Yarrowia lipolytica: one gene and its partners. The protein of the gene in region 1 interacts with the protein of each later gene in a pairwise test. Links are inferred from orthologs where the notes say so. Each region holds a gene or a part of one and is shown on either strand. Other genes may lie near its edges.

Region 1 (4,353 bases):
GGCCTTTGACTACCAGCAGTTTGGTATTGCCAGTATCAAGAACCTCGGGTTCAGTGTCTCCAACCAGCGAGAAGTGGCGGACTACCTGTCCGCCATTGTCGACATTGAACAGATTTGTGTCTTTATCACTGTTTTGGCTCCGTCCAACATTCTGGATCTCGTTCAGATTCTGGTTCGAACCAAGCAGGGTATTGAGGGAGCCTATGAGGAAGAAGTCGGGGCTTCCAACGAAGAAACTCCCTCCAAGGAGAAGAAAGTTGGCCGGCCTCATCTTCTCACGTCTGTGGACGTTTCCATCAACTCTGGAACGCTGCAGGTCTACCCCAGCACTCTTCTCGATACTCAGGTCCTCTACGTCAATCTGTCTGGAACACATGCCAAGTTTGTTTGTGACACCCAGAAGCGTGGCCTCGTCAAGTCGCACCTGGAGCTGGGTATGCACGAGTTTATCATTGCTCTGAGTACTTTCAAGACCCAGATCAACGAGGAGGATCTGTTGACACTCACTGTGGACGAGTTTGTGGCTCATACTCGCAGAGCCAAGGGAGGCACCATTGTGCGGATCCCCAAGGTCGACATCAACATGCACACATGGCAGTACGACACCAACCCTACTGAGGTCAAGTTCACATACTCGTCCGAATTCGCCGGCAAAGTGGACATTGGCTGGAACTTTGGCTCAGTCACCTTCATCCGAGAAATGTGGAACTCGCACGCCAAGGCCTTTGCCAGCCGAAGAGAGGCCTACAAGCTCAACTTTGTGGCCAACCCGTCGGTGCTCAAGGATGGCGAGCTGGAGGAGAAGCTCAAGGATGTGGCTCTGGATGAAAAGTACGTCTATGTGGCGTTGGAGCCTCCCAACATTGAGATTCCCCAGCTGCGAGATATGGGCGAAGCCACTCCTCCCATTGAGTGGATTGGTCTGCATCGACAGCGGTTCCCCGGTCTGACTCATCAGGTGGTGATTGTGGGTCTTCAGGGCTTGGTCAAGGAGGTTGAAGTTGCATACTTTACAGTTCTTGGAGCGTAATGACGGCGATATAATGGAGTTTGAGGAGGAAGAAGAGAAAGATATGAGCGGCTGAGTGTGGGGGACAAAAAGGAGGACAATTTATTTATTTATATTATTTTATTATTTCAATTTGGGGTGCTCCGGCACACATGCAGTACATACTCGTACTCGATCTTGGATCAGTGGTGTGTGGCTAGACCATTCATAAATCACTACAGGACAGCCTTGTGTATCACGCGGTGCATCATCTGTTTCTGGACCCTTCTGGACCCTTCTGTTTGTTTCTTCTGTCTCACTCCATCCAACTTCCACACATCGACGATGCAGAAATCAGGCGTGGAAAACAGAAGTTTGGATCGGTGATGGTGTGGAGTTGTAGGGAGGATGGAGTTGTAGGAGGATGAAGGGCGTGGATGAGTACTTGAATCTCGTTTGAATCTCGTTTGTTTCTATGCAAAATGTGTCAAGATAAGATGATTAGTCGTGTAGAAGAGGAGCCAACTAATAGATAAGTATTTCGTTCCAAAGGTAATCATTTTCCAAGTGTAACGCTAACTAATGATTGAAGGGATGGGGTTTTATGATGGAGTTTTAAAGACATTTTTGGAGATGAATTGTGCCAAAAAGAAACATTTGCTAAGAATATGTTTGCGGTCTATCGCTTTATTCATCTACAATTTCTCTAGCATCTTTAGAACACCGAATATGAACCCCCAGCATGCTTTTGCTCTTAACAAAATGTCAAGTAAAGAAGACTTTTCCAGGAAAGGACGTGAGTTCTGAAAATGGGCAGAAAAAAAGTAGCACAGACACAAAAAGTGGACCTTAAAAGACATCCAAGCCCTAATACCCCAAGCATCTGCTTCTACTCGGTCTACTCCCTGGGTTGTATGGTTGCCACCAGACCTGCCTGGGTTACCCTACCCGATGTGAAGCTTGTCCTTCTTCACCTGCAGCGTACTTACTCAGCACTCACTGGTTTGAACTGTACACACACCACATCACCACCCTCCAACCGTCTGTTTCAGCATGAATAACAGCGTGGAGGAGTTTTTGGCGCAGACGCAGCGCGGGCTGGACACGCAACAGCCGCCGCGACCTCGTTCCCACGACTCGCGCGACACCGAACGAGATGTCCGAGATCGAGAACGAGAGCGGGACCGGGACTTCAGAGACCGAGACCGTGAGCGAGACCGCGAGCGGGACCGGTACCGTAACCAGCGGTGGCGTCGACGGGACGACTCGGTGGACCGTGAGCGGGAGCGAGAACGACACAGAGATCGAGATTATCGAGATCGCGGCGATCGAGGAGATCGAAGGGACAGATACAGCAGAGATGGAGGTAGAGACCGACGGGACCGACGGGACGACGATCGCACACGTGACAGACCACGTGATCGAGACAGAGACAGAGACAGAGACAGAGACAGAGACAGAGACAGAGATAGGGATAGGGATAGGGATAGGGATAGAGACAGAGGAGACAGAGAACGGGCACGTGACCGAACCCGCGAACGAGATCGAGACGTTTCGATCGACGATAGCGTGGTGCCTCTCGACGAGCGTCCATTGTCTGCTCCCACGGGCTGGGATGTCAAGGCTCGAGGATATGAGCGGGTCAGTTCTGAGCTGGCCAAACGATCGGGTCTGTTTCCGTTACCGGGACGTCCCACCCAAGTCAACTATAATGTGTTGAGGGGACTGGTGGAAGGTCTGCCTGATCAGCCCACGGACCACGAGACGGCAGCAATGATGCCTCTGGTGGACACGGGACCCATCAACAACGGTAAGGGATCTGTTCGACCTGAGTTTTCACGGGTGGCGCGAAGACTGATTCTGAGTGGTATTCCTGCCGATCAGATCGACACGGTGGCCATCAAGAGCTTCTTCACAGACTTCATCGAGGGTCTGGAGCTGCAGGGATCCAAGGAACGGATTGTGGACGGAGTTTACAAGCATCCTCGTCTCCCCGAGGTGTTAGTGGAGTTCTTTTCTGCGGAAATGGCAACCTTAGCCCTGGCTCTGTCTGGTCTAGGTATCAATTACTCGGGACCCCCCATTAGTATACGACGACCGTCCAACTACATTTGTCCTACGCCAGAGAGAAGCGAAGTTTCAAGAAGATCGCTGGACGAGGAGAAGGAGGTGGCTTCTGTGGTGGAGGACTCCAACACGAAAATCATTGTGTGGGATATTCCGTTCAACGTAGAAGAGGACCAGGTGCGACAGCTGACAGCATCGTTCGGTGAGCTTTCTGCATTCCAGCTCATTCGACAGCTGCCGTCTCGGGAGTCGGCGGGCATTGCTCTGGTGGACTACAAGGACCCCGAGGTGGTCAAGGACGCCGTTTCAGGGCTGTCAGGACAGGTGATTGGTGGAAAGAACCTCAAGGTAATGCTAGCATGTGAAGGACCCACGCAGTTGTCGTGTTCGTCCAACAACGGGTTGAAGGGAATTGTGACGGTCATGAATGACGTCAAGAGCCGGCCGGAGTCGTCGGTCATTGTTCTGTTCAACCTGGTGACTCTGGACGAGCTGCTGGATGATGTGGCCTACAGAGAAATCACCGAGCAGGTCGAGTCCGAGTGTCTCAAATATGGAGGAGGAGAAGAGGTCCAAATCAAGATCCCACGACCTGACCCCGAGGCCATGAAGGCGTCGTATCGACGGCTAATCTTTGAGACTCGTCCAGGTGTGGGAAAGGTTTACGTCAAGTTTGCCAGTGTGGAAACGAGTCGAGTGGCGATGCAGAAGTTGACGGGCCTGCGGTTTAGCAGGAGAAGTGTCATTGCGAGTTATTACTCGGAGGAGTGTTTTGACATGAATGTGTTTTAGATAGTTGAGCGCAACGGAGAGACACTTGTTCCAGGACTCTCAATCGGAGCAGTGGAGTGCGAACGAGCTAGACATTGTGACGCTCTCTACTCTGATATGAAGGTTCATCTATCATTATTGTGTTTGTCATCATGGATTTTGGCTGGATTGGATATAATGATACCGAGTTTCCTTCGGGGTTATAGGTCTTTACATTAATTGTACATTTGAATAGTTGGATTTTTGTATAAGGGTATGAGCAGCAAGAAAGCAATTTGTAGAAAAATGAGTAGGAAGAGCGCGATTTTCACATTGTCGCAGTTCTGAACACTCGTGGAATGTCAAACAAATAATTAAAAAATAAAATAAAAACAAATAAAAATAAAAATAAAAATAAATCTTAGATTATTGTGTTTTTTATTTAATTTTTTTTATTATAACATTAATACATTAAACTCTATATTTAATAAGACAAGTACTTGTACTGTAGGTAAACCGCTGAATGTGATCGACGGATTAACTCTGAC
Region 2 (3,416 bases), on another chromosome or scaffold:
TGAGTGCATTCGGTACTTGTAGACGCATTGTTAGTGATCGTAGATTGTAGACAACACAGTATCGCACAAGTATGTACTTAATGAACTCTTATTCGTAATTAGATGTGTATAAATAATCTATAGGTCCATGGCTACTGTATGTTTACAACCATCGTTATGGCTTCACCACCTTGTATTCCTTCTTCTTCTTGTCCTTCTTGTCCTTCTTGTCCTTCTTGATCTTCCTAAGGCCATGTGTAAGTCCTTCTTCAGTCAACCTATCCAATCTCGCCTTGGCAGCCAGCTTATCCTCTTCTCTGATGGGATTGATAAGTACGAGGTTCTTGTCCGAAAATGGGACACTTGTCTGGGGACATTCTTTGAACTCCTTGATGGCGGATTCCGAGTACACCCAGCCTGACTCTGCCACGTAGACAAACCGGTAGGTGAGAGCCTTGACTTCCCGTTGAGACAAAGGGCAGATCCAATCTCCGTCCTTGGAGGTTTCAAAGTGCAGTTCAACAATGTCTTTGACACTCTGGATGTGGGGGATGACTTGGGCAGCCACAGACGACTCGTCCTTGTCCAGTAGCCACTCGAGAACCGCATCTTTGTTGTACAATCGGCCCTTGTAGTCGCTGACGATAGGTTGTTGGAGCGACTTTTTGCTCACGGGGCAGTTTTTCCAGTCAAAATCGGCATTGTCCTGAGTGGCATCGAAGAGCTGGGAAGTGGTTAAGCCGTTTTGTTTGTCTTTAACCAGATCCCGGCGAGTGGGGATGGACCCTCCGTCATTCTGTGTTAACGCATGAACAGTAAGACAGCGGAGTTAGGGCAAATAGCGATGAAGAGGAGCCTGCGACGGGTCACTGTGATTGTGCAGTCTGGCAAAAACGGTGTTATGCAATCGAAGTAGGCCATGACCTTCAGAATCCAAGATCTCTGGAGGCAAGCAAACTGTTAAGAATATCCAGTATAGCACAACGACATATCACGTTTCGTATTCGAGTAACGAAGGGTTGCATGATATGAGTTCAAAGATGGTGTCTTTTAGTATTCAAGGTCATGGGCAAGATGGCCCACCACCTGAAGTAGTCTTTAGGAGGGCATCACGGATTGTAGAAGACAAAACACTGTACGATAATGAGTCCAAACAAAAGACACTTCATATTGACCATTGGCTGCTCTGATCTGGCATTGGTGACAATTAAACAATAACAGTTTTGGTAGAGACTCTCGTTCTGACACACATTGATTGTTGATGAAGTGTTTATTCCAGTGGCGATCTGTTCCCCAAGGTAACAATGAGAGGTTGAACAAGGTCTCTTCCCTTAGCCACTTGATACAGATCCTATCTGATCGCTGTAACAGCAACAGTCAAGGAGTCGCGAGGATGGACGTTTACATTCCACCTCCCTTCTCCCCGGCATACTCACTCCCATGTCGTTCTGAACTGTGAAAGTTCGTCTTTTTTAGATCGAGGATTTCGTGACATGCTTGCATGCCAGCAGCCATTTTTCATGCATGGTCATGTGACGTTCGCATCAAGTAATGGGCCGGCTGGATGGGTAGGAAATTGACGTTGGAAGACTCAAAAGTGGATGATATAACTCATGTAGTTACTCATGTACAATATTTCCCCTTGGCTGGCTCTTCACCGCCTTCGTTTTCAGTCCCTCTCTCCCAGTATGTGCGTACTCCATCCAGCTGCACATTACTTGGAACTTACTTAATACTCTCTGCCAGGTTTCTCAAATCTAACTTTTATCGCCACACATTATTCGCGTGTTCAACATGGCCAGCCACCTAGCTTCGATATACGGAACGGAAAACGACAAAGTGAACTGGTGAGTGTCAGAAAGGAGTTATTTGAGTGTTTTGAACCCCCGCGCGGGCTGGTGTTGGTGTTTTGGCCGATCGTTTGCTCGTTTAGACGGCTTGTGATGCATACCAGAGTGGTTGTCGAGAACATGGTGTGTGAGAGACGCAGATGTTTGCGGCCTGTTGGTGTCTGTGATAGTTGTTAGTCCAGCCAAGTGTTGGAAGACAGACTGTCTGTCTATCTATGACTTCTTATCGCTAGACATGTCACTACAGACGACAGTTGTCAGCTGCTGGATAGGACCACTACATCATGTTGTTGCACTGGTGATGCATAGAGAAGTTGATACGGATAGACACAGCAAGCCAAGGTGGGAAAAGCAAACGAGACGTACTTTGATATGTTGCTAGCTTGTTCTTGACTCCTTGAGCCCATCTGTTCTCCTGTGACGACTCTCAACCCGAGACCGTCAAACCCCCTACTACATACATACTAACCCAGCTCATTTTATTACAAAATCGGCGCGTGCCGTCACGGTGAAAAGTGTTCCCGAAAACACGTCAAGCCCACCTATTCCAACACAGTGCTGTGCTCGAACCTGTATCAAAACCCAGCTAATGGCGAATCAGATCCTCTCAATGAGGACGGATCGAAGATGACCAAGGCGGACCTCGACAAGCACTTTGCACTCTTCTACGAAGACATTTACATGGAGGCAGCCAAACTGGGACGCCTGGAGGAGATGATTGTGTGCGAAAACGGCAACGATCATCTCACGGGAAACACATATCTGCGGTTCCGGAACCAGGAGGATGCTCAGAGGGCATGCGACCTATTCAACACACGGTGGTATGCCGGACGGCCCGTTTGGTGCGAACTAAGTCCCGTCAACGACTTCACCGAGTCGTGTTGTCGCCAGCATGACACCAATGAGTGTTCGCGAGGCAACATGTGCAACTTCATGCATGCCAAACGGCCTCCACGACAGCTGGCAAAGGATCTGGACGCTTCTCAGCGGAAATTTTATAACCGTCAGAGGGACCGAAAGTCCAAGCGGTAGATTGGAAGTCGATTGTTGACTGATGTATTAATATATAATATATTTAATGAGCATAACAGTATTGGGATCAAGGAATTGGGGAGGAGAGATGCAAGTAGTTGTAGACCAGATGCTGTATAGCGTGTACTGAATTGTAATACCAGTCGCGTAGTACAAGTATGTGTATTATATATGTCCATTTTCACACTTGAAACGTTTCTATACTTGCACATGCCCTGTGTGATCCTAAGTATAAATCTAACTAAACTTCCAAGTAGAAACATTGATTTACTTGTTGTAATGTCACAGTACAAACGCCTCAAATACCGCCACTAAAGTAAATGGCACTTCTTTGATGAATCGAAACCATCAGCGGGCGTACTCTACCACATGAGAAACCCATCCGTTCTCCCAAATCCCCCACCAATCACCTAAACTTCTCCTAATATATATATATATATCTCTTTCCCTACAGATTCGCCTCCCAGCAGCACGTGACTCCAAACTAACTTCATCACCACAGTGGCAACATCCTTGTCTCCACCATCACCAATCTACACCATGGCAGCAGATAGA
Region 3 (3,600 bases), on another chromosome or scaffold:
GAACACGTCGCTGTAGATGGAGTAGTTGGTGCCGCTCTTGCTTTCGAGAACAACGGACTGCACAAACTTCTGAGGCACGCCATCGTCGGTGGACGACATCTGGCCGATGATCTGGATCAGAATGGACTTGTTGGGGCCCTCCATGGCGTCCAGGCACGAGATGAGCGTCTTGCAGCCCTTGGTGTGCAGCTGGCTAATCCGCTCCTGGATGCTCTCTGTGCCAGAGATCGCGGCGGTGTCGTCCTGCTCCTTGCCGTGCAGCAGCTTCGCATCGACGTCGTAAAAGTGGTGCAGCTCGCTGGGGTCCGAGTGCAGTCGCTTAAAGTACTGCGACACAAACAGCCATGCAATCTGTTCAGCGGTGGGGGACATCTGGGTTAGCGAGGTGAAGAAAAGTGCAAGTGCGGATCGCAGGCGAGGTCGTAAGACGGGAAAAAGACACTATTGCTCGTCAGACTGGGTGCAAGAGACCAGCTTTTGTGTATGACAGCAGCAGATCTGTAGTGGAGATGCAGTATTGGGATCACAGATGTGGGTCTGTCGCCAGCTCACTAGCGATATGATGATGTCTGCGGTGATCTGTCGAGTGCTGTCTGTTGGATGCTGTACGTTGAGTGTTGCCTGACGAGCACTATCCGCTAATGACGTGTCTTCTCTTTGACCTGTGAGTTGCTGTATCTTTTCTCTCTGCAGTCAGCCTGACAACTGCGTATGCGTGTATTCGTGGGACTGGCGGTAGGTGGGAGACCAAGATGGTCTGTAATGAACTGAATCAACACCCGAAAGGGCCAAATGAACACGTATGACAGCCCTAAATCAGCACCAACAGATCCGGTGGCCAACATTCACTGAATTCATGTCAGCATTAGTCACATCAAAGTCACCACATAGTCACAGCAACAACATCATGATAGAACACACACAGTCAACAGCAGACAGAAGCAGCAAACAGCTCCAGCAACCAGCCAACAGCTCCATCCACCAGCCAACAACATAACCTGCGTCTCTCACCGCTCTCGTCGTCCTACCACCGTGTCTGTGCCTCACTCTCTGCCGCTCTCTACCTCCTCACATTGGGGACATTTCATCGTTGTTGATCCAAACACAAAGAGGCAGAAAAGAGCGAAATCAACACACACAGACCGACACCGGAGACGTCACGTGGCCCATCTCCGAGCGCGGTGCCGCGCCATACTCACCGTAAAACGGATGTGATCAAAGACTAGGGTTGAGGGTCTTGAGGTGAAAGAAAAGCACTTTCATCAGGCGAACTTAAAACTACGGCTGACTAAGGTGGGTGGGTGAGTATGGGTTAGGTTAAGAGTGGTGGTGGAAAATTGTTCACCAGTTCGATTTTCCGCCATTTCAATGAATTTTTTGTTTTAATATTTCTTTTCGTTTTCCCAGATCAGTTCAATTCACCTGGAAATGAGCACAAAATAGTCTGGCTTTTGGTTGTTGCTTTAGGCTGAATGAAATAAATTTATAAAAATTAAAAATTTAAAAATTAAAAATTAAAAATGTATTTTTAAAAAAAACCACAAAAGAAATAAAGAAATAAAAAAATACCAAAGGTCAATAAAAATGGAGAAAAATACAAATATACAAAAATACAAATACATCAATTCATTAAATCAAGGATTTTTTTTTGTTTTTTCATTTAATTTTTTTCCCAAATCAATTCATATCTCTTAATCTGAAACCTAAAATCGCCCACCAATATGGAATTCCAAGCTCGACAATTACACGATACTAATTCACTCCAACATGTCAGACAACCAATTGGCGGAAATCGCGGCAATTGCCCCGTTACCGCCCGCCGGTGGAGACCCCGATCACGTGACATACTCGACGATCAAGGGCACGTATCTGTATGAGAAGGAGGAAGATGGGACCATGTTCGAGTTTGACCATGTGACTAGAGGCTGGCGGTTGATAGAGGAGGAGGAGGAGGACAAGGAGGAGGAGGTGGAGGATAAGGGAGACGAGTTGGAAGCGGCTCTGGTTGCTGGGGAGACGACGGACACAACTGCGACTGCGAAGGCGGAACCGAGTGGGAGGGATACGGGCAAAAACCAGCCGGTTTCGGACAAGAAGGCGGTTCAGGAGCAGCTCAAAAAGAGGCGCAAAGAGGTAATTGAGGAGCGACGGAATGCGAAAAAGGCTCAGCAGAAGGGCGACAAGCCTCCTCAGAAGGCCATCTATGTCAGTGGGCTTCCTTCAACTGCTACCAACGATGAGCTGGTGGACATTTTCCAAAAGTACGGAGTGTTGGCCGAAGATGTTTACACTGGCAAGAAGAAGGCTCGGGTTTATGTCGATGAGCAGGGCAAGGGCAAGGGCGACGGTCTGGTGGTTTTTTTCAAGCCCGAAAGCGTGAAATTGGCGGTGGATATGCTGCACAATCAGCCAGTTTACGTTGGCGACACAATGGTCACTCTGAATGTCCAGCCGGCAGTTTTCGACAAGGAAAAGGGCAGTAGCGACAATAAGAAGCAAGAGACGAATTCCGGTCCCAATTACTCCGAAGAAGCCAAGGCCAAGGCCAAGAGGAAGTACACTCAATTGCAGCAAAGGCTCAACGATTGGGATGAGGAGGAGGTCAAACGAGTCAAGACGGAGTCTCGTGAAAAGTCGTCCAAGGTGGTCACTCTCAAACGGGTATTTACCATTCAGGAGCTCCAGGATGACGTGGATGCCGAAATGGACATCAAGGAAGATATTTATAACGGTTGTGGAGCTATCGGAACAGTCACAAACGTGACTTTATACGACCTGGAGCCCGACGGAGTGGTGACCGTCAAGTTTGAAAGAGCTTCCGATGCCGCGGAGTGCGTGGAGAAGATGAACGGTCGCTTCTTTGGTGGCCAGAAACTCGAGGCATACATTGATTATGACGAGACCAAGTGGAGAAAGACTAAGGATCGGGGAGGTGATGAGGAAGATGAGGAGAGGCTGGAGAGGTTTGGAGAGTGGCTGGAGGGCGAGTAGTATAGTATGTACTCTGTTAGATACACTTGGTCTCCATCTCGCCATAAGTGCGTGTATACTAATCATATAGATCGACAAATGGACAAGTTGAGTTCAATAGGGTATGACGCGCGAAGCCGAATCAATTACTTAACGTTAGTTTTTTGTATTTTTTTTATTTTATTTGTTATAACATAATAATATTGAAACGTCGATATTTTGTTTAAATAGTTACCATATTTACAAAATTGTTAAAATCATTGTTAAGATTCTGTATCCCAGGGTTTAGATATTGTTACAGTATCTGGAGAAGAACAAAGTAAACCTATGAAGCACGAATTTGTCATTGTATCCTGTCAAATATGACTTGAAGCAGCCTTCATATTGTCAGCTACTGGTGCAGTTTTGGATGTCTCCGAGAATGATTGAGTAGTGTTCCATTTCGACGCAGATTTAAACTGGAGGTTCTAATCGGCTTTATGAAATAGATAGAAAACAAGTGTTACAACGGCAATAACTTCAAAAGCCAGGCCAATATTTCCAGGCCAATATTTCCAGGCCAATATTTCCAGGCCGTTTTTATACTAACATAATACATTTTTATTTCATTTTTTGGCTAGTTCAATCGGT

Evidence for each region.
Region 2: the proteins of YALI1_E12402g (region 1) and YALI1_F09345g interact in a two-hybrid assay, tested with the Schizosaccharomyces pombe proteins (7 studies listed by BioGRID). The link is inferred for Yarrowia lipolytica from reciprocal best matches to the Schizosaccharomyces pombe genes prp2 and uaf2.
Region 3: the proteins of YALI1_E12402g (region 1) and YALI1_F01034g interact in a two-hybrid assay, tested with the Schizosaccharomyces pombe proteins (3 studies listed by BioGRID). The link is inferred for Yarrowia lipolytica from reciprocal best matches to the Schizosaccharomyces pombe genes prp2 and uap2.

What each region holds. Positions count from the first base shown.
Region 1 is NC_090774.1:1,238,192-1,242,544, forward strand, and holds YALI1_E12402g (uncharacterized protein), read left to right. Parts: upstream 1-2,041; coding exon 2,042-3,847; downstream 3,848-4,353. Other genes in the region: YALI1_E12295g (uncharacterized protein), read left to right, coding at 1-1,030; YALI1_E12421g (uncharacterized protein), read left to right, coding at 3,944-4,032. UniProt on the Schizosaccharomyces pombe protein: Necessary for the splicing of pre-mRNA. The SF1-U2AF59-U2AF23 complex has a role in the recognition of the branch site (5'-UACUAAC-3'), the pyrimidine tract and the 3'-splice site at the 3'-end of introns.
Region 2 is NC_090775.1:932,741-936,156, forward strand, and holds YALI1_F09345g (uncharacterized protein), read left to right. Parts: upstream 1-1,773; coding exon 1,774-1,826; intron 1,827-2,302; coding exon 2,303-2,861; downstream 2,862-3,416. Other genes in the region: YALI1_F09335g (uncharacterized protein), read right to left, coding at 155-775, 1,416-1,421; YALI1_F09361g (uncharacterized protein), read left to right, coding at 3,402-3,416.
Region 3 is NC_090775.1:101,659-105,258, forward strand, and holds YALI1_F01034g (uncharacterized protein), read left to right. Parts: upstream 1-1,767; coding exon 1,768-2,991; downstream 2,992-3,600. Other genes in the region: YALI1_F01020g (uncharacterized protein), read right to left, coding at 1-372. UniProt on the Schizosaccharomyces pombe protein: Has a role in pre-mRNA splicing.